3 linked regions of the Notamacropus eugenii genome follow. The protein of the gene in region 2 interacts with the protein of the main gene of each other region in a pairwise test. Links are inferred from orthologs where the notes say so. Each region holds a gene or a part of one and is shown on either strand. Other genes may lie near its edges. The genes, in order: CCDC174, EIF4A3 and PDCD4.

Region 1 (8,083 bases), on a different chromosome or scaffold from region 2:
ACTGGGTAGAAAACAGAATGACCGTTCTCCATAACAGACAAAGCAATCAAGGACAGTACCAGTCTAGAGGACATTATCAATGTGAGCGGGGAGAATCAAGTCACCTGGTATGTGGTGGACCTTATTTGACCTATTTCATAAACAAATTCATTAAATTGTTTTATGAGATTTTGCTACATTAAGGTTTAAAAAAAGAGTCACAGGAATGCTACCTACTCACTTAATACATATTTAGTCAAAGATTACGATGAATAACACAAAGGGCTAGGAGAATACAGGTCAACAGAAGTATTGAAGCAAAACCTGCCCAGAATTTGACATGGTGCCTGGTACGAAGTGGAAGCTCCTGTCAGAGCCAGGACCGCTTCCTTCCTTGTACTTGTGTCCCTAGTTACCATCACAGTGCCGAGCACATAGTAGGTACTTGTTGAACAACTGACATGGAATCAGAGCTCAATAAATTTGATGATTTGATTTAACTCCTTTTCTAGCAAATACTCATGAACATCTGGCAGCTTTCTTCCCCATTATTACTGTTGTTGAAAAACAAAATACATAATTCAATAGGGTTTTAAGTGAAAAGACAGAATTAGAAACACATCAACATCTCTCAGTTGAATATTTACCTAAAAAGTCTCCTTTAGTCATTTGTTCATACAATTTGGCTTTCTCTTCTAATTTTTCCCTAAAAAGAAGAAACACATATTAAAAAAACAATAGTACTTTCAACCATAAAACTAAACCCAATTCAGAGTTACTAAAGACACCAAACTAGAACTGGCATTAAATGTCAAGGAGGCAAGAGTTTTCCAAACACTAACAAAAGGCCTTCTATCTGCACCTTTCAGAAAAGACAGCCACAGACACGCTAACAAGAAAGCACTAAGCCTTCTTAATAGAACTGAAAGCTAGTGGTACTCACAGTATAGCCTCAACTGCCAGGGAGCTACACCCAGGTAATGTTCAAGCTGATGTCTCATCACATTGGTGTTTATATTATTACAAAGCAAGTTCCTTTGCCATGAGCAATCTTTCTACTGTTACTACTACTACTGCTACTGCTACTACGACTACTACTATTACTACTACTACTACCAAAAGTTGACATGTATTGATCACTTCATAGTGTGTAAAGCACTTTATAGACATGATTTCATCTGATCCTCATGAACCTTCTGTGAGGTTAAATATACTACAGGTACCGTTATTCTCATTTTACAAGAGAGTAAACTGAGGCCCAAAGAAGGTAAGGTGACTTGCCTGGAGTCACAAAGGCAGGAGGAATAAGGTCGGTCGTCCTGACTTCTTGGTCTAGCACTGTCTAGACTACAGCATATGATCAGATGACTCACTGGCATTTTATCCAAGAAATGGCTGTTCTGTCCATTAACTCTGGTGAGACTTATTTTTTTGCAGTAATAAACAGGACCAAGTCGGGACAGGTGATCCAGTCTTTTGCCACAACTAAATTAGACCACTGTGCTGACTTCATAGGTAGGAAAATTTAGGGAGCAACCAAAACAATTTCCTTCTTCTTGGAGATCTCCATTTTACTGGCATGTTTTAGATATTACTTTACCTAAAGGCTCATGTTAAATCTCTCAAAGGTGAGGAAAACACACATTTCCTGGGGCTTGATGTTACCTAGACTTGTCTAAGGTCTTCTGCTCCTCAAGCTTCTGTTCAGCATCTTTTTCAGCCCGTTCTGAAACACCAACATTCTGTTTGTTCCAGATACTTGGTTTCTGGGGAATATAAAAAAAACCAAACAACACAATAAAACCAACATGTGACTGTTAGTAAGACGACTACTTAATAGCCGGAGAAGGAAAACAACTTGCAAATAACTGGTCAATGGAATACAAAGCCTACTTATGGTGCCAGATACAATGGGAGCTCAGTCATGGATGCGCTAACAACAATTTCTAGACAGTCACATAGTATCACTAGTAGCATTAATCTGTTCCCTAATTACAGCCTCACTGACAGCTCTAATTTTAGAAAACAACATATCTGAAGAACAATGTTCATTGTCCAACTACAGGTAACAATGTAAATGAAGCTAAACCACTCAAATCTAAAGCCATCAGCAGCTTTTAGAGCCCTCCTCAGTACGTTCCTGTTGTTCTGATGCTCTCATTTGGCAGCTATTCAGTATAATGACGCAAATGGATTTTTATCCTCTGGGGTTATATTAGAGCTATTTATTGATAACAAAACATGTGAATAGACATTGTGGTCTACCATTCACCAGGTTCAGGAAATAATATCTATAGTTGTGAAAAATTTTATGTCTGCAAGAAATTAATAAATGTATTTTTCTACCTTGTTGGTTGATTTTGGTTTCCCTGGAACTCCAGCATCTTTGAGAAGTTTTTCTTGTTTGAATTCTTCTTGTTTTCGGAAAAGTTCAGCTTTGAGGTCCACTATCTAGAACAAAAATAAAAAACAATCACCTTTACCTTTCATCAAGCTGAATGGGTGATAACCCAAGGGGATGAGGACTGTATATTGTCCATGTGATGGTCATGTAGTTACAAAGACAGCTGGTTAATCCATCAGTACATATATGTTGGACAACTGAGTAAGAAGAGAAGATTGAGTGGATCAGGTTGCCTTGAGGAAATTGGGGAGCGCTCTGAAAGATCTCAAGACACTCCCTAACACAAAAGCTCATCTTAATAATAATGTTCTCAAACAACAAACTTTTATATGAAAGAGTACTCCAAATCACTAATGAATGACAGAAATTAACATCAAAACAACTCTGAAGATTCACCTCATATTTGGCAAGTTGATAAAGATGATAAAAGACGGACGTCGACATTGATAGGGTTGTAGGAAAACAAACCATCTGATGCACTGTGGGTGGAGCTCTGAAGTGACTCAACAACACGGGAAAACAATGTGGCATTATGCTGAAGAAGTGATGGAAAGTCCATACTCTTTGATCTGGAGATCTCAGTAGTTGGCATATATCCCAAAGTCATAAAGAAAGATCATATATACAACAAAATATTCAGAGCAGAACTGTTTGTAAGTAGCAACGAACCAGAAACAAAGCAGATGCCCAGAAATAAGGGAATGGCTAAACAAACTGTGGCACATGAATGTAATAAAGTATTACTGTACTATAGAAACGATGAAAATTCAGAGAAACACAGAAATGCTTATTCCATCTGCTACAAAGTAGAGAAGAGAGAGCCAAAAGACAACAGACACAAAGAAAATCATAATGTAAATGGAAAGGATAATAACAAAAATGAATGCTGAATAAATACAATGACTGAACTTGACCCCTGCAAAGGTGGGAGACCACAAGTATGGAACATTACATACATCACCAACCTTGGATAATACGTTTGATACGCTGAACTGCTCCCCCATGCACCCTTCCCTCCCTTTTAAACTCTGTGTTACAAGGGGTAACTTGCTGCATATGGAAGAGGGGAGAAGCATTCAGAAATGAATATATGAAAGTGATAGCCACAATACCAGCCACAATTTTTAAAAATCATGCTGTCCTTGTGATTCTCAATGGCTTTAAACCATGGAAAACCATGATCTCCAAAGAATTAAACCAAAAGACAATGAAGAAATTCATGGCACATATAAGTAGGCCACATCACATTACCAGTGACAATTTGTGCCTAAGAAATGGCATAACACAATTCATCCAGAAAATGTAGGAAAAGAAACAGAAACTCAAATCTCACTGATACAAGGAATCCTAGATGAAAAAATTCCCTCTATCAACACAAACTGGTATCTTTGCTTATCTTCTAGTCTCAGAATTGCCTCAGGCACAGAGAGGTTAAGGGACTTGCGAGGGTCGTACAGCCAGTACACAGCCAGTACGTAGACAGAGGCTCTCCTGGCTCCCCAAGGCCAGTTATTTGTATACAACCATGCTCTGAGATGGTGGGAATGATAGGACACTCAAGTGCTGCACTGGTACTCATTACAGGCTAAAAAATCCAGAGTATGGCTCCTAATGCATCAGGGAGATGTTCCTCAGAAGATCTTGATTATTAAACATAACTGAGAATCACAAAGGAGAAAGCATGGGTAGCTGTGATCACCACCACTAAGGAGATTTGTAACACTATCAAAATATTCAAAAGAGGTAAATGCAGTAAATACACGTTAAAGGGGCTAATAAAGCAAACAAGATCTCTGATAAGGTTACTGACTACAATATTGAAGCAGTGAGCTGCTTCATTAGGGAGCTGGATACAAACTCAGAAGACCCAGGCTTCAGTCTTTCAGTGCCATCACTCAACAGCTCTTTGACCTCGAGCAAGACACATGACCTTTTGGGCTTCAGTTCTGTAAAATAAGGTGATTAAATAAGATGGTCTTTAAGGTCCTTTCCAGAGCTTATAGGAATGCCTGTTCTCTTGCCTTTCTACCTTCATCGGTTTTTCTTATCTAGACAATTAAATTTCTATTTTGGAAAAATATCCCTAATGTCACTTTCTGGAGTAAAAGACAGTTTCATTTTCTGAATTTAATTTTCTTGAACAGATGTTAAGCTTTTATCTTTTCCTCTGTGCCTTCCCTAAAACAAATTCTTCAATCACAAGGGCATAAACATACCTCTAAATGACACTTAGAAAGGATCACAAAATTTAAAGCTGGAAAGGAATGCAGGGGTAATTTAGTCCAACTCTTTCATTCTCCAGATCCTATTTCCCAATATCATACTCTAAGAATCCATCCCCCAGACTATATGCAGGAACCCAGAACCATCCCTACCTGGCTACTGGGCTGAGCTTCATGAAGATCGTCTAGACTCTGCTTTTTAGAGATCTGGCCTCCCTAAATCAAAGGCTACAGCACTTGACATGCTTAACCACCCTCTCTACTTTGGGTTCCCATGACTGCCCTCTCTTTGGTCTACCCGTCTAACTGCTTCGTCTTAGTCTCTTTTGCCAGACTGCCATCCATGCCATGGGTATGGTGGGTATGCCCCAAGGTTCTGTCCTGGGTTCTCTTCTCCTCTTTCTGTGTATTATTTCAGCATCCTCCACCAGTTCAATTATTATCTTCATGGAAATGATTCCCAGACCTTTTTATCCAACCTTAGCCTCTTTCTCTCAGGTATCAGTCCCACATGACCAGTTGCCATTTGGACATTTAGAACTGAATTGCTGTCGGTATCTCAAACTCATGTGATAAAAACAGAACTCATTTTTCCCCTCAAGCCCTACCTTCTTCTCAACTTTCCTAACACTGTTAAAGCACACCCCAACTCCAGTGTTACCCTCAACTCCTGTCTCTCACTCACCCGACATACTCAATCAATTGCTAAATCTCATTTCTTCTTCTCCAGTATCTCTCTTGGACATTTCCTCTATACTCACACAGTCACTACCTTGTTGTAGGACCTCAGTACCTCTTGCCTGGACTACTGCAACAGCCCTTTCCCTTTGTCATTTGCCTCAAGTCTCTTCCCATCATATAATCCATTCTCCACTTAGCTGCCAAAGGGATTTTCCTAAAGTGTTGGGATGATCATGACATCCCTGTTACTCAACAAATTCCAATGGCTCCAACATTCAATATAGAGTCCTTCGGCATTTAAAATTTTTCACACCTTGGGTACTTCCTACCCTTCCAGTCTTCTTACATTCTGTAAGCCATACTCAATGAGCCAACCAGACTAGACTACTTGGTGTTCCTCCAACTCTATCTCCTGTCTCTTTACTTGGTACTGGAAGTTCCCATGCATGCTGACAATGCTCTCTCTTCCAATCCTACGCTCTTGGAGTCCCAGGTTCCCTTTAAGACCCAGCTCAAGGGCCATATCCTTAAATAGGCTTTTCCTGGTCCCCCAGCTGCCAGTGCCATCTTTTCCATTGATTCTGTATTTATCTCTTGTTATGATTTTCATGTTGTTGGCTCCATTAGAAAGGAAACTCCTTAAAGGCAGGAGTTGTTCTTGTTTTTGCTTTGCATTGCCAGCACTAAGGAAAAAAGTATGACACAGAATAAGTATTTTACAAATGTTTACTGATGGATGAAATGTGGGATCTATGAGGGAGTGCTACTGGAGACTTCCAAGCAGAGACTTGGTAATTTTTCAGGGATGTGATGGAAGGGATTTCAGGTATAGGCTGGACGATGTGGCTGCTAGGGTCCTTTCTGATTTGGAGATCCTTCTGTAATCTGAATCACAGAAAGGACCTCTCTATCAGAACCACACATTAAAAAGTTCAGAGAAGAAGGGCTCAGAGGAACTTTTGACTACTGTAAGGTCATAGAAAATAAGAAACAAAAATAAAATAGGTCATAAGTTGTAAGCCTGACTCTTCTACTTACTTGTTGAGCATGTGCAAGTTATTTTATTTCTTTGGGCCTCAGTTTCTTTACCTGTAGATCAAATTAGCTCAGCCAGATAATTTCCTAAGGTTCCATCCAGTTTTAAATAAAGAAAAAATGGGACAATATTATGTTCGTAACTTAGCTACAAACTGGCATACCATTAGCAAACACCTCAGGATCCCATTTTATCCCATTCAGTTGTCTTTTGGCTGGCCCTTCTTTCCCTGTTGATTGAAACATCAACAAAAGACTGGCAGGTCATCAAAGTTTTGTTGGCCACCCTGATGCCCCCATGTGCGCCATAACCCAGCAGTATGCTTTGGGCTATAGTCTGCTAGTCTCCACAACAAAGAAATGAATCTCCCAATCTTTCAAGGCAAGAGAACGAACAATGTAAACAGATCACTAACATCCTGGCTGGTGAGAATACAGGGCTGAATTTAATGAGATTAATTTAATGGGATAAATATAAATTCTTATACACGTGTTAAAAAAAAAAAGTTGGAGAAGAGTTTCAAAAAGATTGGTGGCATTAGTAAACCACAGGCTCGATGAGTCAATGGTAAACGTTAGCCAAAAAAGTCCATGGAATCCTGGGCATGAAGGGAGGAAGGAGGTGACAACCGTGCTGGACTCTGGCCCCTTCAGACCCCATTGAAAGAATTCAGTTTTAGGCACCAGGGTTTAAGAATGGTATTGAAAAACTAGAGACTACAAAGAGGACAACAAGGATGGTGAAAGGCACTGAATCCATGCAATGGAGGAGGAGCTGAAGGCAGCAGAGTTGTTTAGAAGAGAAGACTCAGGGGAAGCATGGGAGCCATCTTCAAGTTTAGGAAGGGCTATCACATGGAAGGGGGATGAGATTTTTTTCTTCTGTTTGGCTCCAGAGGACAGAGCTAGAAATAAAGGGCCAAAGTTGCAAAGGGGCAAATTAAACTTCGTGTGAGTATAAACTTCCCGATGACTTAGGCTATCCCAAAGGGCTAAGAGAGGCCCTTGGTCACTTTCCCCTCATTGGGGAGCTTCAAGTAAAGGCTATAAGCTGCCACCACCACCACCACCACCACCAACCCTGCTGCTTCTGTTGTAGGGAGATTCTTTTTCAGGTGTGGGTTAGGCTAGCTGACCTCTGGAGGTCTTTCCAGCTCTGATGTTCAGTGATAGTGTGACCAGGAATCACGAATTATGTCAGAGAATTTCTGAGTTGAAAGGGACCACAGAAGCAGCCTAGGCCAACCCATACATGACCAAACAAAAATTCCTACAAAATCCTCAATATGTGGTTGTCTAAAGTCTTCTTAAAGACTAGTGACCAAAATGTACATCTTACAGTATTCTAGGGGAGCCATAATCCTTGTGTTCAGGAAGCTCTTACTCTTCTGGAGCATCTGAAATCCATTCCTTAACACTAAGAAAGGATCAGATGGGGTCCAGAAATGTACACCAACCTGATACCTACATTTGGAATACAAAGATGACTTGCACTAGACTTTGTTTTGAGTGAGGGAGGGCTGTGCAAGGTCACCAGCCTCACTTTCTCCTCCTGAGCCATCTGGATCCAGGGACCAGATATTCATCAGGATGACCTGAAGATGTCCCAGGATGCAATAGGAGACCTTGGTCCATTCAGGTACTCACTTAGAGTGAGGTTACGGCCATTCAGTGAACAAGCCTCTCTAAGAAGGAATCAGTGAATGGACCCTTTAAGGAGCAAAAGAAAAAAAATAAGTAAATCAAACTGGGAGGGAAAGAG
Region 2 (7,008 bases):
CATAATTATCTATCCACGAGTCACGTCTGCCCAACTAGACTAAACCTCATGAAGAGACTTTGTGTCTTCCAAACTCCTCTCTGTAAATCTAGCACAGTGCTCTACATGAAGCTGGTGTGTAATAAATGTTTGTTGAAAAGAACTGGTGCAATGGAAAGAGCAGGCTAAAGATCATCAGAAGCCCTGAATTCTATTCTTAGGTTTACCACTACTTTGTTATGTGACCTTTACCTAACAGGTCCACAACTGGATAATCTCAGGAAGACAACACTAAAAACGAAAGGATGGAGGTCATCAGGAAATGAGGTGTTCCCTGAACTGAGCTATGAATGAAGCTAAGGATTTTAAGAGGCAAAGATAAAGAGGGAGTAGATATCCATGTATGGGGAAGGAGTATGTGTGAACTCATAGAGCTGGGAAATGGAGCATTATTTTAGGAAATCTTTATCAGTCTGGTTGGAAATGTAGACTTTTATAAAGAAGAGTAATGTAAAATGTGTCAGGCTAAGAAGTTTTTATTTCATTCTAGAGGCAAGCGGGGGTAGGGGTGGAAGCAGTGGCATACACAGTCAATTTTAGCAGCTGTGTGGAAGCTGGTTGGAAAACAGATAGATTAAAATCAAGAAAACCAATTAGGAGGCTTTATAACAATCCAAATGAGAGGGCAATAAGGGCCTGAGTTAGTGTAGTGGTTTCAAAGGGCAGGAAGGAATAAATGTGAGATACTGGGGATAAAATATATTTGTCATTTAAATGAAATTACTTAAAAACAAGAAAAAATTTATATATCTGTGTTCATAATTGAAGATTTGTTGGTAAGATGAAGTCTGAAGTTAAAGACTCTCAGTTTACAGTATTGCTAAATATACTATCTATTTCAGATAGAAGAAACTGATAATACTGAAACACTTGGAAAAAGAGTTGCTACCCTTTATGGATGCTGAAATAACAAATGACTCTTCAGCGATTACCCCAAGTCCACAGTTAAACCAGCTTTTGCACAGTTGGTAGTCCAAATAAGAGTTTATGTAGGTGGGTCAAAAAAAAAAATGCCATATCAAAGCAGATGCTATAGGTCAGAAGTTCAAATCAAAGGCTGGGAGAACTGAAGGGCCCACCATGATACTTTCCAAACATGGGGAACAAAATCTATGGAAAAGCAGCAGAGACAGAAGATGGAATGCCTTGTGTGAGAATCAGCATGAGGCAGTCTGGCTGAATGTGTGTGTGTTTAAGTATAATAAGATTAGAAGGTGGTCAGTCTGTCCTTCGCTAGTGAAGAGCTAGCTTGTGAAGAAGATTTAAATAACAACTAGGAGTTTATATTATTATTGAATAAAAAATTCAAAATATTTTTCCTTATGAATTTTCAGGGTCTTCTGAATCACTGAGCATCTAGCCTAAACTCAATAACTTTTTCACATTAATGTACTGAGAATTTTTTCCACTTCAAATCTGTCCTCATACACTTACTGGCTGTGTGGCACAGGGCATTTAACTCCTGTTTACCTCAGTTTCCTCAACTTTAAAAAAGAGATAATAGTAGATTGTTCTGAGGATAAAATGAGATAGTATTTTTAAAGTGCCTAGCATAACACCTGGCACATAGAAGGTGTTTAATAAATGCTACACCCTCACCCCCTTTGTTAGGCTAAGTAAAAACATTTAATATATTTCAATTAAATATTTATTAATTACAAATCACTATCTGCTACTTTACTAATAATGATCTTGTAGCAGGAGCACTAAATTTGGAATTTCAAGACCAGGATATGACTATGAACCCCAACATTAGAGTCAAGAGACTGAGCAAAAATAGATTCTAAGTCTCAGTATATCTTTCTGTAAAATAGGAATAATAATATTTGTACTTCCAACCTTATGGGGATGCTATGAGGAAAAACCTTTGTAAAGTGAACTTTATGTAAAATATAATTACGTTGAAAATTTTATGCAAATTTTCCATCACCCTAACCTCACTATACTTTAAAGATAGGTTACCGAACTGTAAAATAGAAACGATTTATAATGCTGGAATTCTAACTAACGTAGACTTGTGTTTTCCTCTTAAGCCAATTATAGTTCTCTGGAGTACCTAACTTTCAGTGTTCAAACATTCCCAAGAAACCTTTTGTGAAAGCTCATTTTCTCATTTGTAAAATGAGGTAAGTTGGACTAGAGATCGATCATCTCCCAAAGAAAATAAAGATACAAAGCAGAAAGATTCTAGAATAGAGGGATTTTAATTGGTGGAAAAATGCATTAGTCCAGCAAGCATATAGCAGTCAAGAGCCACTAACTGGCTGTGGAACTTCCCTCTAGGAGCCTCAGTTTTCCCCAGCTGAGAGATGGGAGGTTGAACTAGACTGAAGTTAGTAGATGGTTTCTCCAACTCTGCTACTCTGCTTATGAGGGTCCGGGAAGCGTGCTCCTCCTCCCCCACCCCTCCCTCCGCGGGCTCCGTAGCATGCTCGGGGCAGCGAGCTCGAGGACTCCGCGAGGGAAGCGGGCAGGCAGGCCTCCCAATGAGGTCACCGCGGGGCGGAGCTTGGAGCTGCTCGGGCTGCCCGTTGCCCGAAGGCCTACAACGACACCCGACCTAACCAGAGCGCACCTCGTAGCACTGGCCCTGAACACAATCTGCCCTTCTCTCCCCCGCCCGGGCGTCCTTCCCTCCCAGCAGCGTGCGTGCCCGCCTCGGCCAGCCGGCCCCCGGCAGCGCCCGCGCCCTGCTCACCGTAGGCGTAGATGCCTCGCAGCAGATCCTCCCGCAAACCCATCGTGTCGAAGGTGGGGGTCACATCCACCTCTTCGCTGGTCTCGAATTCCACTTTTGTCATGTCTTCCTCCTTCAGCAGCCGCTTCCGAGCAGAACCTGAAGTAGCCATCGTGGCTGTGGCAGCCATACTGCCTGGGAAGCCGGAAAGGGGTTGAGGGGAGGCAGGGAACTGCGCGCGCGCGCGCACGCCGAGGCCCCAGAAAGAAGCACACAGAAGCAGCTGATAGGCTGCGCCGTCATCTATCCATCTCCGTAGTTAAGGTCAGGGGTGGGCGGGTGTGCGTCCGAACGTGCGCAAGCACGCACGCATAGGCGCGTACGCACAAGAACGTGCGCCCAGGCGGATCCGACGGTTCCTTGTTCTCTCCAGGTCACGTGACCGGGGAAGGCGCCGCGCTTTCCGTTGGAGGGGGCGGGGAGCGGAGGGGGAGTTACCCGTAGGCCTAGGGTCTTAGTGGCGTCAGCCTCCTAAGCTTCTAGTGGGCCTCCACCCTGAGGATCAGAGAGAGAATATGGGGGTTAGGAAAGAAACTATTTCAGTGCAGGACTGGGCTGGGGAAGAAGCCGCGGCATTCAGGCCTGGTTCGTAATCATTATTTGGGGGCTTTCAATAGCCAAGCCCCGCGGGGAGATTCATGGCTTGGCTTGGCTTTGTGGGGCACGCAGAGAATTCTCCTGCCTCCCTCCCGTGACCGTGGCACCTGGCAGCGAGCGCCCCTCGGGACGCTTCCCGTCCACGCATTTGAGAGTTGTAGGCACAGCTGAGAGACATTTGTGTAGAAAGACACTCCCTGGAAGGCGGAACAGGACCCCTGCTGCAGAGAAGGCAGATGGTAAGGGATCGAGAGCCCAGCCGGATCTTCCCCGCAGAAACACGGCACTGAGGGCTAGATCTTGGGTTCCCCGAGGAGAGAGAGGACTTCCAGGCTCTGGAGTTCCCACTGCTTGGGCCGCATGCTCGTGAAGACCTGATTATCCCGTGTATGCCCACTCCTCTGGAGGACGTTGTGGGAGGGCATACTTTAATTTTATGGGGGGGGGGGGGGGGTTGTAACTTGCCTTTGCTGTATCATCTTAGTAAATATCTTTGCTAAGAACTAATTTTGTCCTCTGGTTGATTGCCAACCGCTGGTGGGGGCTTGCAAAGTTATTAGGAGTGAGTAGCTCCTGGATACCCTTCTAAAACTTCTTGGCAGCAGCTCCTTTCTGAGGACCCAACCCATGAGTGCCAGTACAAGTTCAAGTTGAGGGAGCAGCCCAGAATGCATGTTACAAAAGGGATTATCCATTTAGTAATTCCTCCTCAAAGTGAAGAAGTATAGCACTAGTTGTTACATAATTTTAAAGAGCAAAACCAACTTCTTACACACATAAGAAAGGAATATAGAACTTCAGAGACCAGACGTGAAAACTATTACAGAAGTTTAAAAGTTTTATGGACCTTGCTATGCTACCCCGTAGTCACATAGGCATTATGTGTTTCAGAGAGGACTAAGTCTTCCTCCCTCTCCACCATGCCACATTGCTTCTCCTAAGTAACATGTATAAAATAAACCTTTTATTTCAGGTAAAGGACTGTGATAAGCGTGTTTGTGTGTATTTATGTGCCTCAGAAAACATCACCTATTCCATTTTACCATTTTTACCTATTTCAAAGCCCTGTGTTGACAGGTAAGTGACCAAGCAGCAGGTAGTCACAGTGCTGCACACAGGTGGCCAGGCCACAGGGACCTCTTCTCACTGGAAGCCAGGAGTGGGATTTGGTAGCCACCTGGGTGTCTGAGCAGCTGTTTTTGGACTACCCTTTAACTCCTGGTGTGAGGAAGGGATTAGAAAAGGTGACCTAAAAATTGTCTACCTTACCCAACCCTGGCCTGCTTACTGTGGCAGACGAGGATTCTACTCTGTGGTCAAAAAGACCTGAAAGAAAACAGCTCTTGTTTCAAGAAAATTTAGCAACTGTCACATATGCACAAATTTAGAGACATCGCCACTCCAAATGTTCATATGGACTGTACCTGACCTGAGGTAAAATGTTCCAAGCTGTTGTATTGTGCAGAGTTGGACACAGTACCTTTATTCCAACATAGTGATGTCATTTTGATCCTCTTTGAGAATAAAGGACAACAACCATTTATGCATTTAAACATATAGAGGATTTTGAAAGCAGGAGCTAGGTGATCATTTGTCTAGGTAACATCTGAGGTCTCTTCCAGCCTTAAGATTTTATGTTACTTCTGGCCCAAGTGTTATTGCATCTGGCAAACAAATGATTATCACATGCAAGGAGCTGCATTCCCAACTTAGTGCTAGAAAATCTGTTTATTATGACTATATATCCAACACAAATGGAAGAAATCATAAAATCCGGTTGACTAGGTCTACTATAAGTTTGTGTTATCTTGTCTCAACTGAACCCTCACTCCTGTATGCCAATCTTTTTATTCTTCCCGATGAACTATCACAGTCTTGAAAGTCTGTCCCAAAGTGTATTTTCGCTCTTCAAGCTGCCCGTACCAATACCTTCCCTGTTCTCTCTTAGCAGAAGGCCTTATCTAATACTTATATTCCATACTTCAAATCACCTTGACATCATCCTTCTTTCAATCTTCCTTTGCTCCATTCCCAGGTGATAATTTGCCTTTTTGTGGCAAGTGGAAGATGAAATGACTAAGGAAACCAAAAAAGGCTTGCACTTCTGAGCATTTTGGTTTATTCAGCAATGCTGCTACTTGCCTGACAAATTGGGACCAGTCTCCTTCCTCAACTTTGGTAGTGGACCTCAAACGCAGGTGGAGACACATTAGTATACATTAAAAACAATCAAGTAAGACCAATTGAGTAAGAGGAAATAACCAGAATATAACACTGGATAAACTGACTTCTAAGTAGAAGAAAGATCAGGGACTTTACTGGTTAGAAGAGGAAACAGGTGCAGTTCCTTGAAATCAAAAGGATATTCCACTTCCCCCACATATCTGTGAAAAATCAGAGGAACATGATAACAGTAAATGAGTGATCAGTATGGGGCCAGTTTTCAGAAAAGACATTGCTTGAGATGTATAATTGTGAGAAAACTACTTGTATCAATTTTGGGGTCTGATTGGGTTTCTGGTCTTAATTAAGGATCTCTAAACAGGCCTCCCAAGTATGCAGAGCTGGGTTCAAACAGTGCAATGGAGTTTTCCCCCAATTCTTACAACTGAATAAAGTTTTCCCACAAGACAGAAAGTGAAATATACCACTAACTGAGTAGGGAACTCAGCTAGCTCCAGAATTGATTCACAAGATGGACCTGATATGGTTCACCCAGTTCCCACAATTCAGTTCCCTCAATTTTCCCCTTTTCTTTCATGGGAGAGTGGCAGCTCATTCCCTCCATGGATCACTTATCTATAAGCCAAATCCATAAGATTTTTCATATATTCATAAATTACATCAGTCAGGTTATATAGATCATGCTAATTAGAGGGCTTACAGTGGACTAATTTATATTTCACCAGGGTAACCATGAAAACTTAAACATAAACACCATGAAATAAAAGGCTAAACCAACACAATAATGATCATCAATATTATCTAAAATGAAGTCTCCTTGTATCCTAGTAACCCACTCCCAATTCCCATTTTCATCAACACATTTTGAGTACCAGATGTCTCTTGTTGTCTGTTCTCTGGATATCTTCTCCCTTGAACATGCTGGAATAGGCCTCATTCTCAGGGCAGCTCCAAAGGAGACTCAATTTCTTTGGTTCCAAATCACTTTTAAAGGTTCCTAGATAATTCTGATAAAATCAAGTAGTAACAAGATTTAATGCAAGTACAATCTCTTAAATTTGGTTTTCCAATCCTGAAACTAAAGAGAAACTCGGTTTTTATGTACCACTTGTCATTTTTATCCTTATATAAACCTTGTACTTCATATAAGAAACTTTAAAGATTCATGAGGGTCTAACTTTTTTTTGCACTTAATAGTATTTTATTTTTTGCAATTACATGTAAAGATAGTCTTCAACTTTCATTTTTGTAAATTTCGAGTTCCAATTTTTTCTCTCTCCCTCTCTTTCCCCTCCCCAAGACAGCAAGCAATCTGATATAGGTTATACATGTACAATCAGGTTAAACATATTTCCACATTAGTCATGTTGTGAAAATAGAATCAGAACAAAAGAGAAAAACCATAGGAAAAACCAAAAACATACCAAAAAAAAAAACCAACCCTGAAAATG
Region 3 (6,938 bases), on a different chromosome or scaffold from region 2:
ACAAGAGAACACTTCATTCTTTTTACTAAATAACATGAAAATATCAATATTTAGGAAATGAGTTGGAAAATTATGTTACTATTCTCTCATTGCTATCAAAACTTTCAGCAAAGAAAAAAGTCCAACTTTATATGGTTAGTTAAAACATAAGCATCTTAGTGATGCAGGCACAGTCTTTTGTGAGAAATACCAAGTGGTATTTTTTGTAGCACTGATTTTTACCTCTTTGATTTATGAATATCTGAGAAAAAACCTGACCAAATCATTCCAAAGATCCCTGCAGTTTTATTTGGAAATTGAATGAACCCATATTGGCACAGGGTAAGGGTACAAATGCAAATAATCCAGGAGCCAATATCTGCAATATTCAGATTTCTAAGGTAAAACTTAAAAATCATTAAGTCATTTCTAATCCTCTCCTCCCCCTCTGACCTTCCTCAGAAAAAATCATGCTGAAACTTTGGGAAACAAAAAATAACGTCACCCAAACCAGGTAAGCAATTTAAAAATCAGCTTCACTTTTAAACATCTGCTCAAGAGCTTATTGATATTATCTACCAAGCTCCCAGACAAACACTGAAGATTAATGAAATTATGTTTGCTGATTGCCTTGTTTTATTTTACTGACAGAACTGTTACTTCACAGGAATATTTATTTTGATAGAGGTGGTACCCAATCGCCCTTATTTGCATTGATAGGATTCATTTGATTATGCTTTTTTAAAAAGATACTGATCCTAAACTTTCCAATTAGTAAATTGCAAAAACTTCAGGAAGGAGGCCAAGCATTACCTCCTTAGAACAGATGTGGTGTTGCTTTGATCCCCTCCAGTTCCTGTCCCTTATCTGAGATAAATCTCTTTCCCCAGCAAAATCAAGGCCTACTTCCTATGGACTTTGCTCACTGGACATCAGGCACACCTCTCTAAGGAATAAAGAGAAACCTCTCTTTGGCAGAAATCAATTCCTAACATGTGAGAAAACCCTAAGCCCCAGCTGCGGGCTAGCCCTCTCAAGAGGAACAGTCCAGAGGTTTCAGTATGTGGATGGGTCTCTTTTTCCTGGATGCTGGTGTCTGGAGAGTGTGCCTACAAATACAAGGCAGATAGTCTTCTTTTAAGGCTCCATGAAGGGGAGAGTCAAGCAGACTTCCTCTTCAGCAGGAGGATGGATCCTTTGGGGCCACCTCTTTGTAATGGAAGGAAGGACTGCGGGGGAAAAGAAATTCTTTCCCTTCTAATGGGGGGGGGGGGGGGGCGGTTCAAAGAAAATCAAGAGGAGGGGAAGAAGGCTTCTCTCCTCTAAGAAGGCCTGAAGGAAGCCATTAGAGGAGGAGGGCTCTCCCCTTGAAGAGAGGGTATTAGTGGAAATGGGGTGCTCTCCCGTCTAATGAAAGCTGAGGGGCAGGAATTCTCCCCCTAACGGGGGCTGGGAAAGCGGGAAGGGAGCCCCTCCCCCATAAGAGCGGGAGAAGGAGGGCCTGAAGGGGAAAGGGGGGGGGTCTTCACTCTAAAGGCGGCCGTAGAGGAGCGGGGGGGGGGGGGGGGGGGGGGGGAGCCTCCCCTTTAATAGCGTCTGGGAGAGGATGTTTCCCTTCTAACGGGGGCTGGAACGGAGGAGGCTTCTCTCTAACGGGAGCTGCAGGAAGGAGAGGGAGGGTCTCCCTTCCAGTGGGGGGCCGCGGGGGAGGAAGGGGGCGTCCCCTCCTAAGTGGGAGCTGGAACAAGGGGGAAAGCCTTCCCTTTTCACAGGGATTAAGAGGGATATTCCCCCCCAACGGGAACTGGACAGGGGAAGGGGGCTGAAGAGAAGGGAGGATCTCCCCTCTAACGAGGGCCAGAGGGGGGAAGGGGCGGAGGGGAGGAAGAGGTGTCCTCTCCCACGCGGGCTGGAAAGAAGGGGATGGTCTCCCCTCTAATGGAGGCCGAGAGGAGGGAGGGTCTTTCCTCTAACGGGGGTCGGAAAAGACAACGAAGGCATCCCCGTTAACGGGGGCCGGGGCAGATGTGGGGTCCTGCCCTTAAAGCGGGCCAGAGAGGAGAAAGGCATCTCCCCACCAAGGGGAACCGAAAAAGGGGGGGCTCTCCCTCTCGGGGGGCGGGGCCCTCTCCCCAGAGCGCTTCGTGGCACGGGGCAGGGAGGGGGAGAGGGAGGCGGGGAAACCAACCTCCCCGCAGTGGCCGGCGCAGGCGCAGTCGCGGTCGCAGGGGGCTGAGGGGCCTTCCCCAGGGTCTCGGGGGAGGGGGGGGGGTAGGGCTCAGAGGGTCCGAGGCTCGGTCCTCCCCGTCCTCAACGAGCGGCCGCTTCAGCCAGGAGGGAAAGGAGCCTGCCGGCCGCCCAACCGATACTAACCCCTCCTCGGGCCCCCGCCGCCGTTCGCACCGCTCCCGCGCCAAGCTCTGCCGCCGAGGCCGCTGCTCCCGCTGCCGCCTCCTCCGCGCCTCTCTGGCTTCTCTCGCTCTGTTTGTTTTTGTTTTCTTCTACCCAGTAACACGGGGGCGAGAGGGCCGCGCTGATTGGCCGGAGGGCGGCGGCGGGTTGTCCAATGAGAGAGCGGCGGAGCGAAGGCGAGGGAGGGAGGCAGGGAAGGAGAGAGGAGAAGGGAGCTGGTCGCGAGAGGAGCCTGCGTAGGCGCATGCGTGTCTCGCTTCTCTGGAAGGGAGTAAAGGAGAGGGAAACGGAGGGGGAGAGTGGGGAAATGAGCAGACTGCCAGGCCGGTGCCCTCTGGCTTTTTCCTTTAGCGCTTCTTCCCCTTGCCTTGTCCTGTTCTCAGGTCTGCACACAGAGAAGCACCGCCTGCCTTGAGCCTCCCCTGGCGCCTCTCCCTAAATCCCCTCCCCCTTCCCGCAGTCCCACAGCCCCCCCAAACCCCTCGGAGTGGTGGGTGAGAGGGTCCCGCCGTGGCAGGACAGCCTCGCCTCCCTGGGCCACGCGGTCCCGAGGCCGGGCTGCAGACCTGCCGCCTGGCCTGGGGCTGGGCGAGCTGGCTCCCCGGATCTCTAGCCGCGCTTCAGCCGCTCTGCCTCTTCTGTCCTGCAGAGTCTTAGCCCTGGAAGCCCATGATCACATGAGACAGATGGGCGTCCTTTGGCTTCCTTTTCCTCGAGCTGGGAAGAATCTTAAAAATCCTCCAGATCCTACTCTAGAACCCGAGTCTCCCAAACCGGGCTCCCGCAGCGGGTCATTAGAGAGCTCGGGGGTCCAGCCCTGCTCCCGTTGGACCGTGGTGGGGCTGGGTCGTGGGAGCGGACAGGGTGGCACGATCCTAAGGGGCTTAGAGAAGAGGGAAGGAGCCGGGTAAGGGGCTTTAAAAGCCAAGAAGAGTTTCTACTTTACCCTAGAGGCAATAGGAGATGAAGTGACTGGGTGAGACCCGCACTTCGGAGGAGAGATTTGAGGAACATAGAGGAGTCCAGACCAAAGGGGATGAGAGTTGTAGCTGAGGAACTTAAGGAGCAGATGGTGTGAAGGTAGAAATGAAAGATCTGGGAACAAATCAGATGCGTGGAGAGTGGCACTGTGCTTGTGAGCCCAAGTGAAGGCAGGATGGTGATGCCCTCTGGAGTGGGGAGGCTTGGGGGGAAAGATAATGAGTTGTTTTGGATGGATGGGTTATGTGGAGGGTGACTCAGAGAGGGGAGAGTCTAGATAGGGAAAGGAATTAGCAGGCAGATTGGGCTGTAAGATCTCTAACTTCCATTCTTAGCATCTATGTGAGATACAAAGACGCATCCCTGCAGTCCTGAGAGAAGTGAGGGCAGTGCTAGTCTGGGATAAGAAGCAGGTCTTAGATTTCACCTGATGTGCATTTTATGACTACCTCGCTGGACCTGGAAGCTCTCACCTTTTGTAAGACAAAAGGAAGATAATATGTGAATCCACATTTAAAAGACATATTCCATATTTGTTGGTGAAGGGAGTGGGAAGTTAATAAGTTAATGTTGATAAATTACTTGGAAATGTTCAAATGAAAGGATAAAAAATAAAAATTATTATTAATGATGGGGTTCAGAGTCTGGGAACCTCCTTGAGCTCCCCTTGAATCTTCCCACTTAATCTGGCCTTTCTTACTCAAATCTAATCTTCCCATTAGTTCCGGCAGTCTCCGGAAGCCATGGGATTTTCATTATCATTCTATTCAGATCTCTGTTGCCCCCCCCCACCCCCACCCCCACCCTTGATCCCATCAAAACCCCCTTTCCCCAGGCTGCCAACCACACCCATCAAGATCTGTGTACATTCCCACACTGCCCCTATCAGGATCTCTGGATTGCCCCACCTGCTTCCCACCTAGGTCCCCCTTAGTCTGTCTCGTGATAGCCTCCAGCTGTTTCCAGCCTTTGACCCTCCTTGGATTCCCTCCTTGGACTTTTCTTCAAGATCCTTTCTAAATCCATCCTCCCATCACCCTCTACTACCAGACCACCCCCCAGATCCCTCCTATACTCTTTTCTGTATTTAAGTTCCATCTTGCCTCCATGAAGGCGCTCAGATTCAATCCAGCTCAGACTGTCTAGCTGGGATTCTGTCTGGCCCGCTTGTAAATACAAGCCTCACAAATGCTTAGGCTCCTTGAGAGGCAACCCAATCTGGCGAATCTTTAATAAACTTTGTTTTCTTTGGCTTTAAGAAAGCTTGAGTCGAATTCATTCGAGCATGACCCGGACTGTCGGTATCTTGGGGTCCATGATCACCCCTCAACCTCATCATTACCACCCTTGGAACTGCCTAAATGACTTTTCTTCCCCCATAACCTTTTCATTTAAGCAAATCCTGATTTGAGAAAGTAAGGTAACCTTAATAGCCATTTCTTAAAGTATGTGTTCTCCAAAACTTTGTCCCTTAGCCCTCTTTTTCTTTTCTCCCTATAACTGTCTCCCATGGCTGTCTCATGGATTGTCAGGCTTGGATAGAAATTTAAAGATCATCAGGCCTAACTTCATTTTACAGACAAGGAAAAAGAAGAACTAAAATAATTTACCCAGTCACAAAGTTAGTAAAAAGCATATCAGTGACTGTAGTCCACCTCTGCCAATTTCTTTGGTTTTCATCCCATTGCCTTCTGTATGTATGTCATAGTCTCTTAATTCTATTCCACAAACATTTTGATTCCCTACCCCACACCAGACATTATGCTAGAAGCCAAGGATACAAAGACAATTCCTGCCCTCCAGAAGCTTATGTTCTACTAGCAGGATACAACATATTCTCATACAAATAAATAATGAGATAGTTTATGGTAATCTGAATCTCCATCCCTGGCTTCTTTCCAAAGTTCCAGACCTTCATGGCCAACTACCTCAAGGACATCTCTGTTTCACTTGGATGTCCTACTAATGCTTCATACTCAAAACTAAATTTGTTTTATTTTCCCCAAAACCTGTTCTTCCCTTACTTCCAGAGAAGCTTATCTCCCAAATTAATTCACAGCTCTGGGACTCACTCTTGAGAGGAGCTACCTGAGCTATTGATCAGAGGATAAATAAAGGAAACCTCACCTCAACCTTCTATTTTTTTTTCTGTTTTTTAAATTAAGTTTATTTGGTTTTCAACATTTACTTCCATAAATTTTAAATTTTTCCCTCTCCCACCCTCAACTCTCTGTTTTTAATCCAGACTGAGCTTCATCTTACCTAGCCATCCCACCAGAACACTCAGTTTAGTGCTCTCCATATAGTAGGTGCTTCAGAATTGTAGAATTTGATCTAATTCCTCACTTATTTTGAAGTACCAGGGTATTGATATCCCCATTTTTCAAATGAAGAATCTGAGACCCAGAATAGTAAGAAGGTCTCACTGCTGGTAAATGGTAGGGCCTAGACCAGAACTTGTATCTCCAGAGCCCTGGTGATGCTTCCAGTGACCTTCCTATCACAACATGTTGCTTCTCTTTAGTAAAGGATTAAATATTCAAGTCTAAATACAGTGAAAGCAGTCCTAAAGACATTGACAAGTTTGGGAAATAAGCTAACAGATGTTTAGAAGCTATGTTACCAGGGACCAGGACAATATTTAGAAATTTTTCTCAAGAGTAAAAAATAAAAATTATTACACTGTCAGCAGGGCACAAAGAAGTAACCATATTTTAAAAAGATGAAGTACTAAGCAGAAATAAAAGCCAGTAAGTTTTCATTCCCAGTTCATATTCTTTTTTCCCCAATTCCCTTTTTGAGTTATATTCTAAAGCAGTGATGTCAAAACTCCCATAGAAAGGGGGAGGCCCCGTGCAGCTACTAAACTATCCATACATTCACTGCAGGTCTCATATTGACCTAGAATACCGCATAGTAGAATTATCTATTTTAATTGTGTTTTTATTTATCTTGTTAAGTATTTTCCAATTATATTTTAACCTGATTCTGGCAGCGCTCAGGAGTGTTGCAGGCCACAGTGCAGCTGGCAGGCTGTGTGTTTGATACCTCTGCTCTAAAGCACAACCTTGGAGAATGTGAGGGAAAATAACTTTCCTTACTAAATCAAGCCTCTCTTGCTATATTTGGGACTTTGGGACAGTTTTAATTATGACTGCAATATATCAGTTAAAGATTTACTTCTCAAAACTCTCTTAAAAAAGATCATGTACCTAGACTGACTAAAACTCTCTCCTCTGTCACCCCAACCCCTTGTAAGGACACCATCTAACCTACTTGTTTTATATGATTAACACATCACCACACCTTAGCTATAATTATATAAGCTTTGAGAAGGTAAACCTACTCACATTCTCCTCCCTCTGGTTCAGTATCACAACTTCAGTCCCACTTAGTCCTCAAAAAGTTCTTCATGTCCTCTGATTCTCAGATAGTTTGAACACTTCTCATTTTTTTCTCCGATGAACTAAAACGTGTCACTGTTTTTTAACCAGCCACTTGAACCAGTTAGTCACTGCATGAAGTCTTTTCTTGCCTCTCAAAGAAAACTAAATGATAAGGTCCAA

What was found.
Region 1: the proteins of EIF4A3 (region 2) and CCDC174 interact in binary tests that used the Homo sapiens proteins (3 or more experiments, as listed by UniProt). The two-hybrid records come from large-scale screens. The link is inferred for Notamacropus eugenii from reciprocal best matches to the Homo sapiens genes EIF4A3 and CCDC174.
Region 3: the proteins of EIF4A3 (region 2) and PDCD4 interact in binary tests that used the Homo sapiens proteins (3 or more experiments, as listed by UniProt). The two-hybrid records come from large-scale screens. The link is inferred for Notamacropus eugenii from reciprocal best matches to the Homo sapiens genes EIF4A3 and PDCD4.

What each region holds. Positions count from the first base shown.
Region 1 is NC_092874.1:430,515,720-430,523,802, reverse strand, and holds the start of CCDC174 (coiled-coil domain-containing protein 174), read right to left. Parts: upstream 3,001-8,083; 5' UTR 2,915-3,000; coding exon 2,780-2,914; intron 2,431-2,779; coding exon 2,326-2,430; intron 1,746-2,325; coding exon 1,645-1,745; intron 686-1,644; coding exon 627-685; intron 1-626. UniProt on the Homo sapiens protein: Probably involved in neuronal development.
Region 2 is NC_092873.1:322,650,616-322,657,623, forward strand, and holds the start of EIF4A3 (eukaryotic initiation factor 4A-III), read right to left. Parts: upstream 3,071-7,008; 5' UTR 2,907-3,070; coding exon 2,738-2,906; intron 1-2,737. UniProt on the Homo sapiens protein: ATP-dependent RNA helicase. Involved in pre-mRNA splicing as component of the spliceosome. Core component of the splicing-dependent multiprotein exon junction complex (EJC) deposited at splice junctions on mRNAs.
Region 3 is NC_092872.1:188,639,276-188,646,213, reverse strand, and holds the start of PDCD4 (programmed cell death protein 4), read right to left. Parts: upstream 3,045-6,938; 5' UTR 2,958-3,044; intron 2,501-2,957; exon of another isoform or gene 2,168-2,500; intron 926-2,167; exon of another isoform or gene 793-925; intron 1-792. UniProt on the Homo sapiens protein: Inhibits translation initiation and cap-dependent translation. May excert its function by hindering the interaction between EIF4A1 and EIF4G. Inhibits the helicase activity of EIF4A. Modulates the activation of JUN kinase.